Caenorhabditis elegans: one gene and its partner. The protein of the gene in region 1 interacts with the protein of each later gene in a pairwise test. Each region holds a gene or a part of one and is shown in the gene's direction. Other genes may lie near its edges.

What was found. Proteins that work in one complex are often made in the same cells at the same time.
Region 2: the proteins of srgp-1 (region 1) and nhr-31 interact in a two-hybrid assay, tested with the Caenorhabditis elegans proteins (one large-scale study listed by BioGRID).

What each region holds. Positions count from the first base shown.
Region 1 is NC_003282.8:11,568,904-11,573,544, forward strand, and holds the start of srgp-1 (Rho-GAP domain-containing protein), read left to right. Parts: upstream 1-1,596; 5' UTR 1,597-1,639; coding exon 1,640-1,808; intron 1,809-2,763; exon of another isoform or gene 2,764-3,066; coding exon of another isoform or gene 3,067-3,127; intron 3,128-3,624; exon of another isoform or gene 3,625-3,833; intron 3,834-4,641.
Region 2 is NC_003282.8:8,023,513-8,031,345, reverse strand, and holds the start of nhr-31 (Nuclear hormone receptor family member nhr-31), read left to right. Parts: upstream 1-1,832; 5' UTR 1,833-1,923; coding exon 1,924-2,030; intron 2,031-2,688; exon of another isoform or gene 2,689-2,835; intron 2,836-5,308; coding exon 5,309-5,586; intron 5,587-5,669; coding exon 5,670-5,824; intron 5,825-6,100; coding exon 6,101-6,582; intron 6,583-6,682; coding exon 6,683-6,956; intron 6,957-7,001; coding exon 7,002-7,175; intron 7,176-7,375; coding exon 7,376-7,525; intron 7,526-7,833. UniProt on the Caenorhabditis elegans protein: Orphan nuclear receptor.

The sequences.
Region 1 (4,641 bases):
GACTGTACTGTATTGCCTATCTCGCATTTTTCATGTTCTTTTCGTTTCCCATAAGAGTACATTAGCCGTGTAAGGAGGATTAGTGTAGGGATATTACGACGGCCACTACGAGAAGGTGCCAATTGGAACCTTGTTCTTCCCAAGTGGACGAGACAATGAGACCGATGAACGTCATCATTACATAACATTCTTATTCCTTCTTCATTGGAATACACTTTCTTTAATTTTAAATATTTATGTACTCATGAGACTATATAATCCATTCTGAGCTTATTAATTCTAAAATTTTTATATAAAAAATATTCCCAGTGCGCTATTCATTTCTTTATGTTGTCAGAAAAAAGTTATTCTTGTCTCTTGTGTCCGGCAGTGTCCGGCAGCGCCCTTGTTTGTCGGAAAGAGAAAACTAAAATAAAAGTTTTCCTCTCTTTTTCAAGAAGCCCAAGGCGTTTTTCACTTTCAATCGTTCCTTTCCTGCTTCGTCTTCCAAAAAAAAGCATGAATTTTTTGGAATAGCCGAAAGGCTTTAGAGACCGAGTCAAGATTGATGGCATCCTTTTGCCAGTCAGCTCCAAAACCAATATCCGTTATTTGGGATGTTTTTCTTCATTTCTCATTCATCAGGTATATGTTAGGTGCCGATTGAATGTTGTCGTGGAAGAGGAATATGATGTTGATGGACAATAAAGATAACATTGTCCTGGTCTTCCCCTCTCCTGTTGCCTCATAGTAATACTTTTACATAATCTCGGATGAATAAACATTTGTCCGTTCCATTTATGTTTTCTTCTTCTTCTTCTCGAAAATAGATTCGTTTCTATTGAAAGGGTCAATATTTAATCCATAGTTAATCTTCTATTGAGGAATTACTTTTCTTGAAGAAAAGAAGAGCAACGAATGTCGGTTTACTTCTAACTTGATATTTTTAAGCTTGTTATAAATATCAATTCATATTTATACTTTTTTGTTAAAAAATTATTTCAGGTAACTATGCATCTACGGGAGCCCCTCAAATATGTATGTAAAATATTAATTGTTTGCGCCCTAGTGGCTTTGTTTTCAAAAAAAAAAGACGATGACTTTAGCAAAAACGAAATCAAATACATATGCTTAATTCAGTCCATCTGCTTCACTTTATGTTGATGTCTATTCTCTTTTTGCAATTCCTATTATTTTTCTGTCGTTCCTCTTGTCCTGAAACCGTATTGTTACATGCCGTCCTCGGTGTTTCTTTCCACTGTTTTTCTGAAAGCTACGTCCACCAAACCCTTGTTCACTTTTTTTTTCTATTTTTCGCCAGCCACACGTTGATTTATGTGAAGTAGCAGTAAGGGGGCAAACGCGGGCTTTACCATCTGCCAAGCTAGTTACTTTTTTCGTCCCGCTCCTTGCGCTTTTTGCTTGCCCATCTCTTTTTTTGTGCTTTCTCAAACTAACTCTAGCCACTCAACTCTTATAAATCAATCAAACAAATTCTATAAATTGTCCTCCTTTTCTCCTTGCCTATCCTTTGTTTTTTTCAAACAATCCGTGTTTCTTCCATACTTTCCCCTTCAACCCGATATCATTCATTCAATTTATAATTTTCTTTTCCAGAATTTCACCCAAACCACTTGCTTCACCCGTGCCGACCCCAAACATGACGACGTCTTCGTCTGAAGGTGGGGCCGGTGGCCAGCACGAGGAAACTTCGATGACGTTAACTTCATCAACATCAGCAGACAGAAGATGCTCACAGGACGTGAGAAAACATTCACAGCACAAACAAGAAAAGGCGATTGTACACGATTTGGAGTGTGCTGCTAAAGGTGAGATTTTTTGAAATGTTGGAATCGTAATCTTTTCTTTTGGTAACTTCGAGAATTTTGCAACAAAAAAAATTAAAAAACCTTCCGTATTACCCAGACACAAAACTTTGTGATTTTCGAGCCAAAATACGGTAACGGGTCTCAACACGACAATTTTTTTTTGAAAAATACGAAGAGGAAATTTAATTAATTCTCTAAGTTTTTCTAACAATTTGTTAAAAATTTATGGATTTTATTTGAGTTTGAGAATACAGTAGTTTTTAAAGCACACTTTTTCGAAAATTCAACCAAAATTTATCGTGTCGAGACCGGGAGCCATATTTTTGGCGCAAAATTTCGCGTTTGAGTATCAAAACTGAAAAACTAAAAAATAGTTCGATATATTAAGCTTCAAAGTTTATTAAAAGTATTTGTCATCTTGATCTTCCCTCCAAGTTTACATTGAATTCATTTCGTTGTTTTTTCTTTCCGCTCACACCCTCTCCAACTAGTTTATGTTGATCCCATCACGAATTGGGGGTAAGTAGAGATATAAACATATATTACGTGCCACATTGTGAGGAAAAAACTTGTTCAATGTTCCTAGTGTTGTTCATCATAATCAAACATTTTAATTGCGATTTTAAGTATAGAACACTATCATTTTCATCCATTTTTCGCGCCTTTTCACCCTATTATCTAAACAATCATCAGCGGAAAGAAGTCGGTACACAGTCAGAGAGAGAAAGAACACACGGGCGGTGCGGGAAAAAAGAAAAGAAACATTTTCATTTCGCACCCCATCGCCATCGTCGGGCGACATCAACGCATTGACAATTTATTGCGATTGTGTGTTGGAAACTGCGGGAAGTCACTTGTCACTTGAACCAAAGTAATGAATAGTTATACTAGAGGGGAACTTGCGGAATAATAGAAATGTGATAGGGCATCAGTACGGGGGGAGTAGTGAATAATTCGAAGCCACTGCCGCCGCCAACCTTGTTCTCCCCTTATACCTGTGTCGTAAGTGTGTAAAGTTGTTTTGGAATCATTCTTCTTCTCTATGGAACTTAGAAAAGAAAGACGAAGACGCAGAAGATGAAAGGGCATGCGATGGAAACGGATCATCATCGCCCCACCCGGGAGCCATGAGAAGGCAGTTGTCTCTCTGTCTTCTCTCGAGAGAATCTCTTAGAGAACGAAAGTCATTTAGTCTTCTGTCTCTTCCCATCTTATTTTCCCACACTGGTGTTCGTTTTGATCTAAACGTCATGCGAACATGAGTATTCGACTACCACTATGTGCATCGATTGGTGTCGACGATCAGTATGATTTCCAAGGTTAGTTAGAATTGTAGAAGGCCCTACTTGAATAAAGTATGAATTTTCCAAGATAACAAATATTTTGTTTATATGTTTTGAATTTAACGAAACATGAAATTCACCACTGTAGTTTCTTATGCAAATAATTTCAAAACGACAAAAAAAAATCACTCAGAAAACCATGTGATGTGAAAACGCTTTCAGAATCATGAATTCGATGTTCTATTTTTCTCCAAATCTTATCTCCTTTTCGATCAAATTCGTGTGATAGTGGGATAGGCCCAATTCCTGTGACAATAATGACTCACAATGTTATAAACAGTGGAAGGAATCTCTTGTCAACATTCAATTCCTACTACTTTTTCATTCTTTCCGATACTATTTCATGATCCTTTTTTCCTACTTTCCGCACCTTGACTTCCGTCCTTCTCGTCCTCGACGTTTAATTGTTTCTTCTACCAACCCAAGAATGCTAATACTTTCTTCACTCCCTAGTTTTTGTCTTCATATCGTATCTTTGTTCGATTCGAATCGACCTGGCGTCCCAGACAATAGTAATGCCTCCTTCCGTGCACTTCAGAGCTCTTTCTGCAGCCACGGCCACCCATTTCATAAATCATCCTCAAAATTGATCCGTCAATTTCGTTGTCCCGTCTTCGTTGTCCCGTCCACTCTGGGTTTGCTCATGGACTCATCTTCAGAGGGATCTGTCCATCTATCTATCGGCTCCTTTTCTCTCGTTTTGTTCTCTAAGTATGTGTGTATGTCACACCTGCAATTCGGATTCCATGTGGTCGACACCACATGTTGCTTCTTTATATCATTCTTTCTTAGTTTTTTCTTCCAATTTTCGTTATTTTGAGCAGTTTCACCATAAAACCTTTACCACAAAAATATCGTAGATATAGCCATCAATTCAATGTACCAATTTCTACGGTCTATTAGTCGAGTAGACTAGAATACACGATATGCTTTGTACTGCTTTCTGACTCTCTCACCCACTATCAATGATTGATTTCTTAACATTCAGATTGGGCCGGATTACGTCCTCAATTTCTACAATGTGTAGACTTATAGAATTCAGAGAATAAAATAGTTGTCAATATCAAAGTTTAGTTTCACTAATTTTTTCTTCATCCATCTGTAGAATTACTTGACGTAGATTTTATTCTGCTATATTTTCCGCCAAAATCTCAAAACTCCCACATTGAATTCTTGATTTAAATTCCTACTTCAACTTGGCACATTTCAATGGCTGTGTAATTCAATTCGATGACTATGACTACATAATTAGGTAGGTAGTATCCTCGCCTTTCTCTCATAGATTTCCCACGACTACTGTTGTCTTCGCGCAGGAGGACTACCAAATAGAATGGGAATATGATATTGAATTGCTCTCATCTCAGAGTAGCTTCATACACACAAATGCACACGCACTGGTTGTGTCATTTAGGCTGATGAGCAATATGGTGGCGGCATCACCACTCTCTACACAGAAGACCGCCAAATGTGTCCGTATGTCTCCAAGGCGA
Region 2 (7,833 bases), 3.5 Mb from region 1:
TTTTCTCCCCACACACAAATTGCGCCCGCCCCCAATTTGCATTTTACTGTTGGTGTCCCTTGATGTGTCCCCCTATCGCCCAAAATCCCGTCGTTGTTACGTTACTATTCAGGCGGAACACACACAGTCACCAGAACCATCATATTTTATTTGTTTCTTTTTTCTTTTCCTTTTCTATTTGAAACCATCAACTTGGGATTTCCCATCTCACGTCTCAATGTTGCAGAATCTTTAGTAAAAGTCGAAACACAAATATATGATTTATTGGCAGGTTATTATCAGTTTGTGCCAATTTATTATCGAAGAACAGTTTGATTAAATCAAGTAAAGTCAGAAAGTCTATTCAACTTTTATTAAGAATTTTAAATATTTTCTATAATCTCCAAGAGTTCGACTCATATTAATGTGTATTCTTTACATTATAACTTTTAAAATTCAATTTTTTTCGCTTAAAAGTTCAAAAATCTGAAAAGAACAATCGGACAATCGTTGTGGTCGTCATAGAGCTGAAATGATCTACGAATAGTTCAAAGTACTGTATAATCTAGTAGCCATATACATTTTCATAATCCTCTCCGTATTTCTTTTCACCAATCCGCTCCGTCATTTTGCATTTTTAACAAGTTTCGGTTATTCCATATTTTCATTTACATAACTTACACGTTTATGTTTCTATTTCATGTTAATTCCATAGTATTCTGGATGGTTCCAAAATAGTTTTGAATTGTATATTGTTTGAATTGGTCCAACTCCGAGAATTACCAAAAGTTTAGAACATTTGAAGAAAACATAACAATGTTTGGTTATTGATAACATAAATTTTGTTGAATCTTCAAGCTTCATTTATTCATATTTTTCCAAATTTCAAAAAAGGATTTCTAAATTTAAAATGTCCACTAAACAATCCTTAATCTCTTGGCAGCTCCTCTTCTTCACACGTGGTTTTTTTCAGTTATCAGAACAATAATCGGTGGTGTGCCAGCTTGCTGAATTGGCTTGGCAAACTTTTTTTGCGTCCTTCTCCGCCACCGTCACTCGTTATCATCAATCACAAATTTTTGGCTGCTGCCACGTTAGACTCTGATTTGTAAGGGGGACATGAACTATTATCAGAAGCTAATTCTTAAATTCTAAAATGAAAATATTAATTTAGAAAAACGAGAAATAGATAATAAATGGAAACCTACTCTCGTTTCTTTCTCCAATAAATCAAATAAAAATAAGAAAAGTGCGACTGGTTGAGTCGTTACCTAACTTTATCAATATTTGATTAGAACTTAACAATGTTTTTGAAATGATCCACTTGGACGTACAAGAGGTAGTACACATTAAACTGACCGTTCGATTTTTTTTCTTAACTTTAATTCACTTAGAGAAAGGTAAAAGGAATCCATATATAAATTACGGGATGTAAATAATATTTTATTATTAAAGAAAGGTTTTAAAACAAACTATGTAGAATCTAGTCAAATAAGTAATTTTCTATTTCTGGAGATAATTTTATTTAAAATTGAATTTTCTTAATTACAGAGAAATTACGTTCAAAATCTCATTAAAAGATGTGATAACCCGACACCTCAATACATTGACCGTTTAATTTCTTTCCGTTTTCATATATATTTTCATCTAAACACATTCATATATTTATATATACAAATGAAACCTAAACCCGTTTAATAATCCGCCTGACCGTCTATCCATCCTGTCCGTCCGTCTATCCTCCTGTCCACCTTCCGACCACAATTACCGTCCCTTTTTCTTTCATTTTCACCGTTTATTTTTCTGAAATCCGTTGCTTTAATATGTATACATTTATATATACTTTTTTCCAGCAACAACAAATAGAAGAACACGAATTTTAATTTCAATTAATTCAAAATTTTTCCCATATCGACGCTGCCGTTTGCAGCACCATCTGTTAAAATGGAACAACTTGATGTCGAAGATTGGGAGTATTGGGGTGATGAATATCTTGAAGAAGAACCAACTTATGCAATAAGACCTGGTACAAGAGTTGTGAAAGTTGAAAGGTTAGTAAATCGATTATTATAACTTTTCTGTGCATTTGAACTTGCATCATAACCCTAACTTTTTTGAGAATTAATATCAAATTATTAAGATTTATTTGCTCAATTGATCAGTTGGAGATCATTTCATAGTTTTTTCTTTAATTTTTTGAACTTGTGAGATAAATAATTTTCAAAAAATTTTGTTTACCGAAGCCGCCAAAAAATTTTATCTCAAATATATAGCTCTAGTGGCTCTTTGATAAAAACATTGAAAATTGAAAAGAAAAGATTTACTTGAAACCCCATTTAATGCTAAATCTAAATTTATTCAAAGTCAATGTGATACAAAATCCCTTCAGGCCTTAAACTTTTACATCTATTCTGATATCAAAGCATTTGATAGTTTCAAAGAAATTACGACATTTTGGCAATCAATCGCTGATCTTCTGACGTTTTCAGATCAATTGACAATGATTTAAATGAACTTTTGAGCAATTATCTCAACTCATTAGAGCCATTAGATAGTTTTCAAGAAGCTGCAAGTACGTGTTCTATTTGCATTTTAATTCTAATTCCCTTTTGTATAGGACAGAGTCTCCCCTTTGTTATCTTATTCTTGCCCCGCCACGACGCAACAACCATTTTTGTGATAATAATTTGCAATTTTATCAATGGCACTACTACCTCTGATCACCACCATCTCACACATACTTTGTAAAAGCGCGTCGATCGTAAATACTACTGTCTTGCCACTTTAGTAGTAACCCTGCCACGTGGAAACTTTGAAATTTGGCGTGGAAATGAGTGAAGAGGCACGTGACAAGATGCGCGCGAAGAATGATCAAATTGCGATAAAAAGGGATAGGTGAATGATCTTTGTGATTTGAATGCTACTTGAGGAATGGTTTACATGGAAATTGAGAAAAAGTAAAATAAAAGGGTTCAAGGACGGTAATCGATCAATTTGAATGAATGAAGAAAGATATGATTGTGATTGATAAAAGGAATTTGCTACAAGAAACCGAGACGAACTGCATCGGTTCATATGAGTCAGATGTGTTCTTCGGTTGAAGAAGATCACTTAATTTAGTGAGAAGTTTCTTTTGAGATTCAATTTTGATTATATTCTTAGAAGTTTTCAGAAAGACAGTTTAGTATTCACTCCACAAGGTTAATAGCTAAAAGTATTCTCTACTCGATTCGAAAAATAATTTTTGCGGGTTTTTACTTTTAGTATAAAATATTTGAATTTGAAAAAATCTCTAGTTAGTAGTTTGTTCGTGTGCAAAGCTTAAACAGGATAATTAAAGTATTTTAAAATATAATCCAGCTTTGATTCTAGATCACAATTCAGCATCTACTTATAGATAAACTAGTATATGTTAACTTCCCCTATCCTATCCAATAACCTTTTCCTTATTCAGCTGTAAACAACAATTGATACAAGTTATCTTATCTCCAAATGCCTCCTCCAATTTTATGAGACCCGTAAAAAAATTCGATAGACAAAAAGCATTACGATTTTATTTATTTTGGTGACATTTTGGATCCTTGTAGTCAGAGGCTCTATCATTTGATCTTCTAATATATCTTTACAAAAAGGCAATACATCCAATTAGCCCAATTAGTCTGCACGTCTTGATATAAATATGACATCATACATTTACTGATTCGAATCGTTGATTTTTAATTTAGAATTAAGGATAAACAGAAAGAAGATTTAAGTGTTTGATTGGAGAATATAGGCATCCTATGCTAAAAGCTATCTCTAATTTATTACTGACATCATCCGTTTCTCGTCTGTGTTTCATGTATCTTTATCACCTTTCCCTCCTCTAGTAGAATGACCTAGAAAGTGATTGGCAAGTCTGGCAAGCCTACAGGGGGACAAGGGTTATAAGATTGATAGGTAATAAATTCTTGTAAAATGAAGAAAAAAAATTCTGTGCGGATAAACGAAGCGGAAATCATCATTGTGTGCGTGCTTTGAGGAAAGGTTCGCGCCTGTTTACTTGCCTTGTTCGGAGGTCGAGATTTCGGACACGAACCACCTCATATTTTTCTCTCGTTTCTTTTCTTCGATTCTCTTTTTTCCATTACTATCTCTCTTCCTTTGGTTCTTATTTTCTCGACAGTCTCTTTTGGTCAGTATAGTTCCTAACTAGGAACTGTTCGAAATCTGGCATGATAATTCTTCAAAAACGCTTATGAAACTTCAAAAACTCGGACTATTTTACTGTGAAAGTATATACCTCCGTTCGTTTCAACAAAAAAAAAGTTAAGCTTTGAAACTATAGAAAAATTAATAATACATCTGCTGCCAGTTGATTTTAAATTGATTCAATCGAAAATAGCCAAGATATCAGGTGCCAAAGTTGAGCAAGATTAATTGAGAAAATAATGTTTTTGGGAGTGCATTTTTTCAAATATACAAGTAGTTTATCAACAAAAAATTATTTTGTACTGGTGTAATTGATTTAAAAAACAAGTAATTGATGTGAAAAACAAGCTTAAATACTGTTCTAAAATAAAGTTACAGGTGTTAAAATGTTTTAAACAAATTATTTACTATTTGTTCAAAACCTTAGTGACATCTAATCTTTATGTTTTCATTTTCTCTTCATCCTCTCAAGCGTCTTCTGTTTTGTATTCTTCTTCTTCTTTATTTCAAATCAGTGTCTCTTTCGCCTTGTTATCAGTAAATCGTCGTCGTCTTCTCCTCCTTCATCTCCTTTTATTTCAATGTCACTCCCACTTAATTTCCCCCATTTTGTAATATTATCATAGAGAGACACCGCCCCATAGGTATTCCCCCAAATACGTCAGTTTTTCCACGTGGAACTTTTTGGTCTTTTTGATGTGTGAACTTTGATAGTTTGCAACAAATTGAAATTATGAATTTTTTTTATCATCAATGGAATTGGTCACTGTTCCAATGATTTTTTAATTGGATTCTTAAATGCCTTTTGGCTAGAAAACTTTGCACATTTAGCTCCGATTAAGCAATGAATTTTTACAATAACAAAAAAGTGCCTATCGACTTTCAATTCCGCTTCCACACACAAAATTTTGCAATTTTGAAACTGAAAAAACCGTATCAAATATAATACTCTTTTGAAAGTTTAATCACTTGAAAAATGTAATTCCGTCTTCACCAAAAAACGTTGTATTTTCCAAGACACAAATTATTGTGGGAAGATCAAGAAATCAAAATTTCAAGGACACACTCTAGTTTTTAAATTTTATTATTTTTGTGTTTGAAACTAATTTTCCCGATCTTTTAACTTTAAAATTTCCAGAGTTCCAATGATGCGAGGAGATTTAAGGACAAGCGGTGCCACGTCATCAAGTGGTCCCGCCACGTCATATATCATCAGGCCCAGTGACAAGCAACCCACAGTTTCTAGTGGTGGATCACAGAATGGAGATTCAGTTTGTGCTGTTTGTGGTGACGGAATTGCAAAATTACATTATGGAGTACTTGCATGTTATGGATGTAAAGGATTCTTTAGAAGAACACTGACTGGAAAATATCGATATGCATGCAGATTCTCAAATAATTGTATTGTTGATAAATGTAAGTTTTTTAAAGAATAAATTCGAATATACTTGACTGAGTATCTTTATAATCAAGAAAATACCTGAAGTTTCGGTTTTCAGTCCAGCGAAATAGTTGCCGATACTGCAGATTTCAACGTTGTATTCAAGCAGGAATGGATCCAAAAGCAGTCAGGCCGGATAGGGATCAGACAGGAAAACAGAAAGTTCCAAGAATTAAGAAGAAGCAAATTGATGAGGAGCTTTTAAATCATATGGTATGTTTTGAAAATGTAGATACACTGAAAAAAAACTGGTGGCAAATTTAAAATTTCCAAAAATTTGACAATTCACAAAAACTTGACATAAAATTATGGAAAATCTCAAAATGATTTGAGTGTTTTTTGTGATGTTTTCTATTTGTTCTGGAATAATCGAGTGAAAAATGTTTATGCATATTCAAACAGTTAAAATTTAGTTTGTGTTGTTGATAAAATCCAGAATAACTTACACTATACATGAATGATGTATAAATTAATACTTGAAATTTTCAGATGCGGTTACAAGGAGATGATTGGTCACGAAAACTTCCTGTCGAGACTCGAATTTTATTAATGCAATTGATGAGTATTGAGGATAAAGTAGTAAAAGGAGATAATAATATGAGTGCACAAAACACTGCAAAAGATCCAAAAAGTATTTCATTACGGGAAATGTTTGAATCAAAACCTGCATTAGATGGTCGACGGATGGAAATTGGTTATGAACCATTTCGAATGGCAAGAACTGAAGAACTTGGAGTAATTGCTCATAGAAGAGCAATTGCAGCTGTTGATTGGGTTGATTCATTAACTGAAATTGCGGATGCAGTTGATACTGAAGATAAAGTTGCATTGGTTAAAAGTTGTTACTCGCCGTTAACTATTTTCAATTTCTCTGCGAGAACTGCTCAGAATACGAAGAATCCGGATATTTTGTGTCTTTGCAGTCATTCATTTGTTCCAAGAAGATTGCCTCCAGAGTTTAATGAGACAAAGTAAGTTGGAATTTTAATTTAATTCCAATTTTTATCAACGCAATAAAAATATATGAAAAATACTATTTAAAATTAAAGAAAATTAATTTGATTTATTCAGTCATCTCTCAAACTTCCTGATTGATCGAACGTTAAATGAATTGGTGGCTCCATTGAGAAAATTAAATCTGAAAGAAGAAGAAATTGTTCCATTAAAAGCAATTATTATTTTAAATCCAAATGCAAAAGGACTATCCGAGCATGCGAGGCACGCGATTTCTGAGTTGAGAGATAAAGTTCAAGATATGCTTTTCCAAATTGTCAAGGAGCTTCATCCAATCTATTCTGCAAGCAGCCGATTTGGAAACTTGTTGCTTCTTCTGCCAACAATTACTGTTAGTCGTCATTACTGTTGCATTCTCTATTTCAAAACATTTCAGACTCTTTCCGGATTGATGTCTGAAAACATGCATTTCTGTCAAGCTCTTGGAGGACGTGCAAGTGGAGATAACTTGTTAGCTGAAATGTTTGGAGATAGAACATTTGATGATCAACTTATCAGCAGCAGCATTAGCCCACCACTATTCGAGAATCCAGCTGAAATTTGTTTAGAGGTCAGTTCACTAAAAATGACTGAAAGATCAAACTTTATATCATTATCTTTTTCTTTTAATTGTCATTAAAACTATAAACTCATTAAAACTATAAAATTTCGGAGTTTCTCGGAGAATTGAAAGTTGAAATTTGCCAACTACCAACTGATAAATGGCAATGATAAGAGTGTGCAAAAATCTAATTTCTTGTTTGTTTGCAGAGTATCTCACCGCCAATGTCTGATCGAAGATTCGTGAGAAGGGTAGATGTGGCAACACAGACAAATGATGATTTGTTATCATCTGGACCATATCTTCCACATTCAAATTCATGTAGCTCCATGCTTAATGCTGGATACTCTCCTCCAATGGTGAGAGAAGTTTGAAAATATTTATGGAATTTGAGGGAAAATATGTTGAAACTTTCTTGGATAGTAAAGATTCTAAATTGAGGGAACTAGCTTCAATGCGTTTTACACAAACATATTCTTAAGAATATACAAGAAGTTTGAAAAACGTTCAAAAAAGCTCAGATAGAGGCTGTGACTATTATCGATTTTTCTTTTATACAAATCGGTACCTATTTTTGCTAACTCGCTCCAAGTCTCTTAACATTTTTTTCTTGGGAATTTCTATTTCTATTATTAACACCGTTTCAAGTTAAGACTAAAGTGGTCGA